Schizosaccharomyces pombe: one gene and its partners. Changing the gene in region 3 together with the main gene of any one other region gives a genetic interaction. Each region holds a gene or a part of one and is shown on either strand. Other genes may lie near its edges.

What was found.
Region 1: mutations in mid1 (region 3) and cdc12 impair growth when combined (synthetic growth defect), as found in Schizosaccharomyces pombe (6 studies listed by BioGRID, with this or other methods).
Region 2: mutations in mid1 (region 3) and cdc15 impair growth when combined (synthetic growth defect), as found in Schizosaccharomyces pombe (4 studies listed by BioGRID, with this or other methods).

What each region holds. Positions count from the first base shown.
Region 1 is NC_003424.3:281,644-285,399, forward strand, and holds the start of cdc12 (cytokinetic formin Cdc12), read left to right. Parts: upstream 1-1,700; 5' UTR 1,701-1,832; coding exon 1,833-3,756. Other genes in the region: exocytic docking protein Mso1, read left to right, coding at 306-761. UniProt on the Schizosaccharomyces pombe protein: Plays a role in the cell cycle. Involved in cytokinesis. Component of the cell division ring. In the absence of profilin, caps the barbed end of actin filaments, thus preventing subunit addition and dissociation.
Region 2 is NC_003424.3:1,401,181-1,404,936, reverse strand, and holds the start of cdc15 (F-BAR domain protein Cdc15), read left to right. Parts: upstream 1-2,000; 5' UTR 2,001-2,050; coding exon 2,051-2,131; intron 2,132-2,189; coding exon 2,190-2,281; intron 2,282-2,457; exon of another isoform or gene 2,458-2,472; coding exon 2,473-3,756. Other genes in the region: CCR4-Not complex subunit Not1, read right to left, coding at 1-1,615. UniProt on the Schizosaccharomyces pombe protein: After the onset of mitosis, forms a ring-like structure which colocalizes with the medial actin ring. Appears to mediate cytoskeletal rearrangements required for cytokinesis. Essential for viability.
Region 3 is NC_003421.2:1,148,507-1,152,262, forward strand, and holds the start of mid1 (anillin-related medial ring protein Mid1), read right to left. Parts: upstream 1,930-3,756; 5' UTR 1,710-1,929; coding exon 1-1,709. Other genes in the region: protein Cwf20, read right to left, coding at 2,336-3,208; SPOM_SPCC4B3.13 (MatE family transporter), read right to left, coding at 3,737-3,756. UniProt on the Schizosaccharomyces pombe protein: Scaffold protein that anchors the contractile ring (CR) at the cell equator during cytokinesis.

The DNA of each region.
Region 1 (3,756 bases), on a different chromosome or scaffold from region 3:
TTTATTTGTAAGATATTAATCAATTGGACATTTGCAATAAAATTATCTATTTATGTGCTGATTTTACATTCGTTAAAACATATAATGTAGTTCATGGTCGTGTTATTAATCACTTTAGACAGTTTAGCGAGTTGGCGTCTTTATGAAATCCGCGTCGCCAGATATTAAGCCGTTCTTGGCATCATAATAATGGCTAAACTTTTTTATTAATTACTTTTATTGAAATTTTTTGAATTCAAATGCCAAGGTTCTTTAAAATTTAGAGATTAAGTAGTACATAAAGAAACGCGAACTCTCGATTCATCATGTGGTCAAAGTTATCGATTTCTTCAAAAATTAATCGTATTCGCGACCCTGAAAGCGATAATACGATTGAAGATACTCACGTTGCTCGTGTAATGAGAAAATACTATATGGACAAAATTGGGACATTACCTGAATGGCTTCGTCCTCCTGGATGGCAGCCTCCAGTTAACACAGGACCTACTTCCCCAGTTAGCATAAATGCAAGTAATGCGGCTCCTTCAAATTTAAAAGCTTCATATATTCCGGCCAATCCTAGGAGGCTATCGTCCTCCACTTCCTCTGCTTCGTCTCCCCCTTTACGACGATTACCTTCTGTTCAACATAGTACCTTTGACGATTTGTTTGAAGGTGTCGGAAGTCTTCAAAAATCACCTTCCACCACGAAACCTCTTTCCTCTACACCTTCCGGCTCATTGCTACGGTCAAAATTTGATCACACTAGAAAGAAGTTTTAGTTGACACAACGATACCTTTACTTTACTCTCATTGGTATCTGTTAATGGCGTATTAATGATCAAAACGACTTTTTGTTTCTTTGAAAATGCTGTTACTACGTATGTGTTATTCTCAACCTCGTTTGTTAATAACTAAGCCCATCTTACCCAGAAGTTCGACATTTGTCAGTACAGAGGCATAATTACTTATTTTACAACTTTGAGTTAGCTCACCTTTTCTGGTTTTTCCTTTAGTAATTATTTTTGGAATGACCTGACAATAAGGTGCACTATCCTAAGCAACTCGCCTTTAGTTTGAGAACTATCATTTAGTCTAATTAAATAACCATCACATGTTCTTTATGTTTCTAACCGGATTGTAGCTTTAAAAATTAAACTGTTCAAAAAGCGCTTGGTAGAATTAAAGCTAGTAGCTGAAATCAATTCAACATTATAAAAACTTATCGTTACATACAGCGCATCGTATAGGTTTCTTTAATTTCTAACTCGAACACTTAGGGACGAATTGTGAAAATTCGTTATTGTAATTTAATATGGTATGTAAATAAAAGCACCAATGGATTCGTTCTTGTGATTCTCGTTTATTTGCAAATTTCTGGTTATATTTAGCTCAACGTGACAACAAAATATGTTACGAATGCTTTGTAAGTAAAAATGATCTTCACGAATGTATTTTCTCATTGAACAACGTTTTAAGCAACCAGAAACCGCATCCAAATGCAGACTAGACTTACAAGACGAGAATTTCGATTATCCTAAAAATAAAATTTAATACGCTATAACGCAATTTAACCATTATAATATTAGATATATCGAAGTTTCATTTCCTTTCAACTTACTTGTTCGCAAGTATACGTATTATCTTAGATCATTTAAGCCATCCCAACCCTTACTCGCTAAGTGTTCCACTTTATCCAAATTTGAAGGTCAACAAGTTCTGAACATCAACTTTTAGCAAATTTAAAAAAAAGGTTTAATTGAGCTAAAACTTTTCATCACAGTTTCCTTGTTAATACTTGAAAACAAGATCCTGAAAGCAATTACAATGCTGCATTCGTTTATGAAGTAGAGATGCGAAATTCGTCAAAGGGACAGGACCCTAATTTTTCTTATGACTCTATTCTGTCTACTCCAACTCCATCAGCCAGAAGAACTATTGGGCCAAGGGCTCCTAAGTCCAAAACAACGTACCATAAACCTCCATCATCCATAGAATCAGTATCGACGTTAATCCAGCCTAATAAGTCCCAATCAGTTACTTCTCCGTATGTAAAGCAATTTACCTTTTCATCGAAAGAGTACAATTCTCATAATAAACATGCTTTGCAAAATTCCCAGCTTCCTTTACCTAAAACACCCGAGAAATCTACTGTCCATCGACCCAAAGCGAATAAAGTTGAAGTCACTGATCTACCATCTTCGTCTTCCGTTGAACATTTGCACACTTCTAAACATCTCAAGGGTCCTAGGTTGCCCAAAAACATTATTAAAAGTTCTGAGGATGTCCAAATTGCTCCAGTGACACCCCCTGTACATTCTCGCTCTTTTGATCCTTTGCCGAAACCTCCTGTTCCCTCAGTTCCAGTATCTAAGACAAAAAGGCGAACTAAGCATAAACTTGCTCCTGTTGTTGAAGTCCCTGAGATTACCAACGAGGTTTCCCCAAAATTCACTTCTACTAATGATGAACAAGTTTATCGACTACGTTCAATTCGAGCTGGGAGCCCTAATTCGGTATGCTCGTTTCAGTTTGAAATTCCGAGTACTCGACCACCTTCATTGGATCAGCTAATACATCTATTCAACGATTTTTTAAGACACCCTGTATTTGATTTTGACGAAAACGCCATTGAAATGCTTCAAAGTTGTACTCCAGATGAAAAGTGGTGTTTTATTCGTTCTAACTTCGCCGGGTTTGATGATCCTTCTTTCCAAATTCCAGAATTAGCTGCCGTCCATAGACCTGTTTCCTGGTTCGTAATCCAACTATGGAATAAAACAATTAGTAATTTACAACTTATCACACTTTCTTCTTTATTATCAACTCAATCCGATCGATGGATATCTCTTTTTCTTGAACTGCAGGGACTTCGAGCTTTGCATAATCTACTTACATATTTTAATTCGTCTGCCGTAGTGCAGCCTCAGCAAGCTGAAGTTCCTCGTTGCATGCTTACTCTTTTGAAGAAAAAACCTACTCTGGTTACTTCCAATTCTTATATATTTCAAGCAATAACAGTGACCCTTATATCCCCAAATTTGCTTCCGAGGAAAGTAGCCGCAGATTTATTGACATGGGTTCTGTCTTTAAAGGAACCTCTTGTGGTCTCCATATTGGAAACTGGATTTAAAGAAATAAATGCCGAATATGAAAAGGAGGTTCCGCTATTCTTTGGATGGATAAAATCTTTCAAAGACATAATCTTGGAAAAAGAATTAGCACGAACCCCTCCATCTTCTCCTGCTCGAAATTCTGCTTCCAGCTCACCTTCAAACATAGCGTTTCTTGAGTATTGTACTTCCACTATGGAATTTATCAATCAGCTAATTGTTGCTTGCGAAGAATTGGAGCAAGGATTTGACCTTGATATATTGGATTCCCTTCGTGAATCAGGTATACACGAAGTTATACAACTTCTACGTAACTTTCCTGACCAACAACTTGAGAAACAACTAAACATATATGAATCAGAAGAAGAGAGGAGGACTATAAGTCAGACCACGCATGAAGATGTCGATTCCTTTATGTCAAATGAATCCTCAATTTTAAGTAGCTTCAATGAATTTGCATCAAATGAAGTTGGCCGTTTACTTGAATCAACTATTCAAAACATACTACTTGCCAAAGGTACTGAAAAGCAAAAGGTGAAACTTATCAAGGTTTTTAACTCTTTACTTCAAAGAATACTGCTCAATTCAAAAGTATCCAATGAAAGTTTTGAAGATAGTTTACAGGCATCTTTAAATATGCTAACCGAAAGATTCTATTCGGATG
Region 2 (3,756 bases), on a different chromosome or scaffold from region 3:
CAAATCGATTTGGTTGAATGTTGCCGATGTGAGATGTAAAATCATTTTCGATAATAAACTCTACTACCTGATTCACAGATGAACTATCCTTCAGCCACAAACTGCGTAAAAAGGCGAACAAAAATTGAGGGTTTGTTCGTTCAATCCTAACGAAGACAAATTTATGTTCTTTGAAATTGGAAAAAAAGTCTGAACACCATTGAAACGCTAATGACTCTTGAACAGGATTCCATGCCAAAGGGAGCTGCAGCGTACCCAAAAGCAAAAGCTCGGCAGAAACTTTCTCATCCAAAAAATTCAAGAACAGTGAAGTTTCGTAGGTGACTACCTCAGATAACAGGCGTAAAAGGATTTGGACAAGTTCAATGCAATTTAAATTACTTTTTTCATATATTTTCGCATAATTAACAAGCTCTTCGCTATAATCCTTTAAGCTATCAACAGAAACTACAGGATTGACATTGAACTCTCTTATATCAAACATCGATGTTGGGGATAGGATAATATGAGAAATGATGGAAAGTTGCGGTAAAGGATTTCTCCAAAGAACCCAGAGAAAGTCCAACGTAAAATTAGTTTGCCTTAACTTGTAAGCATTTGTAAAGATTGTGAAGAACAGTACAAGACTAGGTGTACCCGTTATCATAAATTTAGGATTATCGAACATAGAAAGCATAGCTTCCCAATTTAGGTTTTCAAAAGAGGAAACGATAGCTTTACCCATCAAAACAGTGTCCCAAGCACCATAATCATGTATAGCTACAAGTGAATTTATAAGATAAGCAACATCAGTCTCAGTAGCCGTTCCCGGGGGATATTTTTTAAGAATTGCTTCTTTCATAGACTTAAGTGTAGCTTTGGAAGCTTTCATCGGACCAAACAAAGCTGTAAGAGGGCGTGAATTCGCCAACTTTTTCTCAATTATAGCATCAAACTTTGGAACTTTAATCAAGGGTATTCTGTCATAGTCGGTGGTAAACAAACCTTCCCTGAGCAAATCCAAATCGTTTTTATCAATACTTTGTTGCTGAGTAGGATCGGATAGTTGGTTTAAAAGAGATTGGAATGTGTTTTTAAGCAAAGCAGAAGCTTTCTTTGCTAAAGTAGGTTTAACAGAAGTGGTAAGTCCAATTAAAAGGTTAGTCCTTTCTAACGGGGAGAATTGGAAATGGTCTAAAAATGCCTCTATATCGAAATCTTCAAATACTTCAGAATCAGAACCTGAAATAGCATCACTAAAACGTTTCGCCATGACCCAAGACTTCGTGAGAGATTTTAATTCATCTAGTAGTAATTTATAAGTAGCTAGTCCATCAGAAGATTTACCGGTACCAAAAATACGGTATGAATTTCCTTGAATTAGACGGCGAAGAAAATGGTGGTATACTCTGGGTGCATTTTTGTTGATAAGTTGACGAATCTGTTCAAGTTTCGTATCATATTGGTCTTCCCGTAAGGTCGACAATAAGAAAAGGATTTGTGCTTTAACAATACTTTCAATTTTTGAATCGTTTGGTGGAGGGGTCTTAGAATCTAGTGATATAGGATGCCCAGATTCAGAAGTTGAACTAGATTTCTCTCGTGTCTCCGGCGTTTGTTGTTCTTGGCTCTTCATATTTTTAACGCTTTTCTATTACCATGCCTTTGTGAGGCTATTATTATACTCCTATGCTATTTTCAGCTGATATATTCTTTGAATATTTACAGATGAGATGCAGCAGTATCTGCTAGCAAGTTTGAATGAAAATAGGTGCAGTGGTGTTTTGCAAAAGATATGTCGGTCCTCCTCACTGCCAGGCAGTCTAAGAAAGGATCGAACATTAAATTTAACGAGACTGTATCTTTCGTAAACTTTTTTAACAAAATTTAAGGATAGAGTTAATTTGCAGTTGCTTATTGTGCACTCAGATAGGCAACGGTTGCTAGGGACGGTTGTCACCGCAGTAGTCGCAGTAAACAAACATGTTTACTCTTTTCCTGAAATCGACTACCAGGAATTTACCAACAACAAATCACAAATTTTGCTGCATTTTGTTCTTTCAATAACAAAATGGAGGTTAATGGAGTCTCTCAATCTGAAGCGGCTCCGTACGTTACCAAATCTTCTGTTAAGTTCCGCGATAATTTCTGGGTATGTGTAAATTTGCTGTATTTAGTAAAGCAAAGTTATGTTAACAAAATCGTTGCAGGGATCTGAAGATGCGGGTATGGATGCTCTTATGTCCCGAACAAAATCTTCTCTTTCCGTATTAGAATCAATTGATGAATTTTACGCAAAGCGGTAAGTATGGTTGCCTCGTTTGGAAGTTGCAGCTCTACCTTAAGCGCTACGATGATTCAAGAAATATGTTTTTGGTCGTTTCATTGTCATTTAAGATGTTTTACAGATAATCGTGGATTCTTAAGATAGCTTGTGTAATGAACCGAAGGGTTCGGTATGATTATTGATTAAAGTCTGACTAACTAAATTAGTGCTTCTATTGAGCGTGAGTACGCATCTAAACTGCAAGAGTTAGCTGCCAGCTCAGCAGACATCCCAGAAGTTGGATCAACTTTAAATAATATTTTATCTATGAGAACTGAAACAGGGAGTATGGCCAAAGCGCATGAAGAAGTCTCACAACAGATAAATACCGAATTGCGAAATAAAATTCGCGAGTACATTGATCAGACGGAGCAACAGAAAGTTGTTGCAGCCAATGCCATTGAGGAATTATATCAGAAAAAAACGGCTCTCGAAATAGACTTATCCGAGAAGAAGGATGCCTACGAGTACAGTTGTAACAAGCTGAATAGCTACATGAGACAGACAAAAAAGATGACTGGTCGTGAATTAGACAAATACAATTTAAAAATCCGTCAAGCAGCGCTAGCAGTAAAAAAAATGGATGCGGAATACAGAGAAACAAACGAATTACTTCTTACAGTTACTCGGGAATGGATTGATCGTTGGACAGAGGTCTGTGATGCTTTTCAACATATTGAGGAATATCGTTTAGAGTTTCTCAAAACAAACATGTGGGCCTATGCAAATATAATATCTACTGCTTGTGTAAAAGATGATGAATCTTGTGAAAAGATTCGACTCACACTCGAAAACACTAACATTGATGAAGATATTACTCAAATGATTCAAAACGAAGGTACCGGAACTACAATTCCCCCTTTACCCGAGTTTAATGACTATTTCAAAGAAAACGGATTAAATTATGACATCGACCAGCTCATTTCTAAAGCTCCTTCTTATCCATACTCCTCTTCGCGTCCCTCAGCTTCTGCATCTTTGGCAAGTTCGCCAACACGTAGCGCTTTTCGCCCCAAAACTAGTGAAACAGTTTCATCGGAAGTTGTATCATCACCACCTACTTCACCATTGCATTCACCAGTTAAGCCAGTGTCTAATGAACAAGTTGAACAAGTTACAGAGGTTGAACTTTCTATTCCCGTTCCTTCTATACAAGAAGCTGAATCCCAGAAACCAGTACTTACAGGGAGCTCAATGCGTCGACCTTCTGTAACATCACCAACTTTTGAAGTAGCTGCTCGTCCTTTGACTTCAATGGATGTTAGATCCTCTCATAATGCCGAGACTGAGGTACAGGCTATACCCGCTGCAACAGATATATCACCCGAAGTTAAGGAAGGTAAAAATAGTGAGAATGCTATCACGAAAGATAATGATGATATTATTTTGAGTAGTCAACTTCAACCTACTGCTACCGGAAGTCGGTCATCTAGGTTGTCTTTCTCTCGACA
Region 3 (3,756 bases):
TCATTCACAAATCCAAGAGAAGTAACAGGACGTGGTGATTGATTTTCAGTACCATTCGGGACTTCGTAAGACGTACTCTTATCCTGACTTGGAAGATCAAGGCGATTCAAATCAAAGGAATGTGCACGACTTAAAAGTTCGCTATCTCTGGCTACAGGCGTAGACTGCCTAAGTTCATCAATGCTGGCGGATATCTCGGCACTAGGGTCGTAAAAACCTACTGTACCAGTTTCCGAATAATTCCATCCTTCGACGTTATGGGACTCAGAACTGACTAAACTTTGGCTAGACTTGTTTGGCTCATTTTCACAATAATTACTATAAGTACGCTTCGTTCCTGGTACGGGTTGCATTGATGGGTGACGTAAATCTTCAGAGCTTAAAATAGCACTCAAATTGTCAATGGTAGAACTGCTTTTTATACGACCACGTTGACTAGATATACTATATCCCACGGAAGCAGAAGTTAGATTGTATCTGGGGACTTCATGATACGTTACAGATCCATGACCATAGGCGGCCTGAGATTTCGGAATTGAAGTGGCACTAATATCCTCATCCATATTTTCCTGTTGTAAAGAATCATTGATAATAGTAGAAATCTCAGGTTCTGAATTACGGGAAGATTGAAGGTATAACTCATCATAGTCTTTACCGTTGGTGGGAAGGGAAAGCTCAGAGAAATCATAAACTTTCCTAAGTGTACTAGCATAGGAAGATCCACTGGAAATCCGTTTTGCTTCCATCTTGGCCAAAACCTTTTTACGAAGACTTTCTGTAGAGATATCTGAGTCGTCTAAGGTGGCCTCTGGGACTGAAGAAAAAGGCTCTGAAGTATCTTCAACAGGGGCTTCCTGAATGGGAGCTAAAGGTTCTAAAGGTTTATAATCCATATCGAGAGACGCCGTCGTTTCGACCCTTTCCAACGCTGGATTGTCCTCTGTGGTATCTTTGGGAAGACTAGGAAGAATCCTTGGACCTACAGTAGAAGATGCAGATAGATGTGCTGGAGGTACGGGCTTGACATCAGATGGTATGCGAGCCAAGTTGGGAACGCTTCCAGCTCTTGCTCGGGCTGGGTTTGTAGACAGTTCATTATGGGATTGATATGGATGTTGAACAGTGTATTCCAACGGAGACATTGTCTTAGCTCGACTAAATTCTGCTACTTCTACCGCCCTCTTGCGAGACGATTTGGAGCGGTCAAAGGATAATTCAGCTAAATTTTGATCCGGATTAAATGTTTCATAATCTGCAACAATATCAGCACCTTTCAAAGACGCAGTAGAAGAACTTGTCGAGTTCATAGTTCCTGCCGAGTACGTCAAACTAGGAATGCGACCTTCTTCCTCGGAATTAATCCTCTTAAACACTGATGTACTACTCATTCTTTTACGATTATCAGGACTATGTTGAGAAGAAAAAGATGAATCGAGGTGCCCATAGCCATGCATATACATGCTTCTTAAATCAAGTGACTCTAAAAGATCTGTCGCAACGTTTAGTTCCGAAAGGTTTCCAAGGGACATATCGCCATCTCCATGTGTAAAGTTTTTTGTTTGATCATATCCCGAGGTTTCATTACTGTTACCCTCAAAAAAAAGGGGTGTTTTTTCTCGATTTGGAGAAGAAAGAAAACTGTTTTCTAAGCCTTTAGAGTCAAGAGACACATCTTTTGCTTCTCTATATGAGAACTCTTGCTCTTTCATCGTCAGGATAGCTTAATTAGACTTTACAGACTATAATACCTTATCGAGTGTTAAAATGTGGACACAGTATCATATAAGCACCCTGAAGTACAACAAAAGACGAGCCTTCTTCTTTATAGCAAATATTAATTCAAATTCTATTAAAATTGATGCTAAAAGCACGAAAACCTCTTATAATTTATTGAAATCCTTCTTCACCTCAGTCATGTGGAGTAGGCATAGGTCACACAAAATCGGTAGACGCTATGATAAGTGGTAGTCCCAGTGAGAACACTGATTATATGGTTAAACAATTCAAACTCTGGATATACCATAAATCGAAGATTAAAGCCAAGTTTCCTTTTTAAAATTAACAAAAAAAGGCTAGTTGCATTGCAAATATGAATTATAGCTGGGACATACTTGCAAAGATAATATTGTATTATCAGTATGCTTATGAATAGCGATGAATAAAGTCATTAGTATGTAAAATAAAATAAGTAAAATCATATTTTGTTGTCTGCTATTTTCGCAGAAACTAAAAAAAAATACATAAAATGAATCTGTTGATAAACAGCTTTTAATTTACAAATACACGAGCAGTTAAAACCTAAAACTAACTATCGGGGCGTAACATTTACTTAAAGCTAAAACCCATACTTTTGAGAAGATGCCTTTTTGTTTGATCGTTGCTGCTCAAAATAAGCTTCAAAGTTGTCTTTTTGACTGATAGCCATTTCAACAAGAGAAGACAGTTGATGACGACCAGGTGCAACACTTTTAATAGTAGGGGCGCTTGGCAATGCTTCTTGGGTCGGTTTTGGAAGTTTGTTGATATCAACGTCTATAATTCGTCCCTTCTCTTTTCGGTGGCGTCCAATTTCAATGTAATCTTCATTGATAATGTTTATGTCCTCTGCATTTGAATGTACTGAGTGATTAGCAATAGAAATGAAATCGTTCTCGGGTTGATTCCTCAATTTCGGAGGATTTGCTCTAGCTTTAGGTTTTATCAAAATTGGTTGGTAAGGTTTCTGATCGGAATCTACTAAAGAGGCTTGCTTTGACTCTGATCCTACGATATTAAATAACGAAACGTTACCAGACTTTTCTGAATACGTTGATTTCTTGACAGTTTCGGAGGATCCAGTAGAGGTTAAATCGCTTACAGAGTTATTAGGTAATAAATAGTTTTCATTTAAATCAAGGTCCGATCTTTTAGATGACTTTGGAGCTAATTCAGCTTGATTTTTTGGGGCAGGCAAAAGTTCAAGTAAATCATTAGATTTAAATCGTTCATTAGAGATAACATCAGATTCATTAAAAGTTTTATCATTAAAAGAAGATTTCTGTAAATCAACTTGCCGTTTCAGGCGTTTAGGTGACTTTTTAGTGCTGTCAACCGACAATTTTCTGCGCGCATGCTGAAACAAAGTAGGATCGAAACTTTTAGAAGCTAATGGTGTTTCTTCTTCAATATCGCTTTCGGATTCTGATCGAGGATATGAAACCAGAGACATATTTTATTAACTTTTGATATTAAGTCGTTTAATAATTCTGAGCGAGCGATTTGTACTCGGTAACTATTCTCACTGCGAACAGAATTATTTATGGCAATTAATATACTCGCATCTGCAAGATGATTTACATATTTATTCAAACTTAAATTAATTCTTTAAGTAAGTCTTAAAAAGAAATAATATTTAATTGAATGCTACCGCCCAACGTTGCTAGCTAGCATATGTGGTATTTTATATATTAATCACCCAAAAAGATTCCAAATTACCATTAATTTAATTTACTTTTATAAGCTTCATAAATATGAGAGTTTAAAGCACTGCAATTTTCGTAAACTTAATTTTTAGGATAGGCCAAAACATGGCCAAATCTTGAAGACTGGAAAAAGTACCGACTCGAATACTTTTATCAATCAACTGTTAGTAGTCGTAACCATGGTATCATAAACCGAACATATCTCTTCAAATATATCAATTTATGACAAACCACAATACATATTTAAATAATCATTAACTTGTCCGTATCAACTTTTAAGCCTCATCAAACTGAC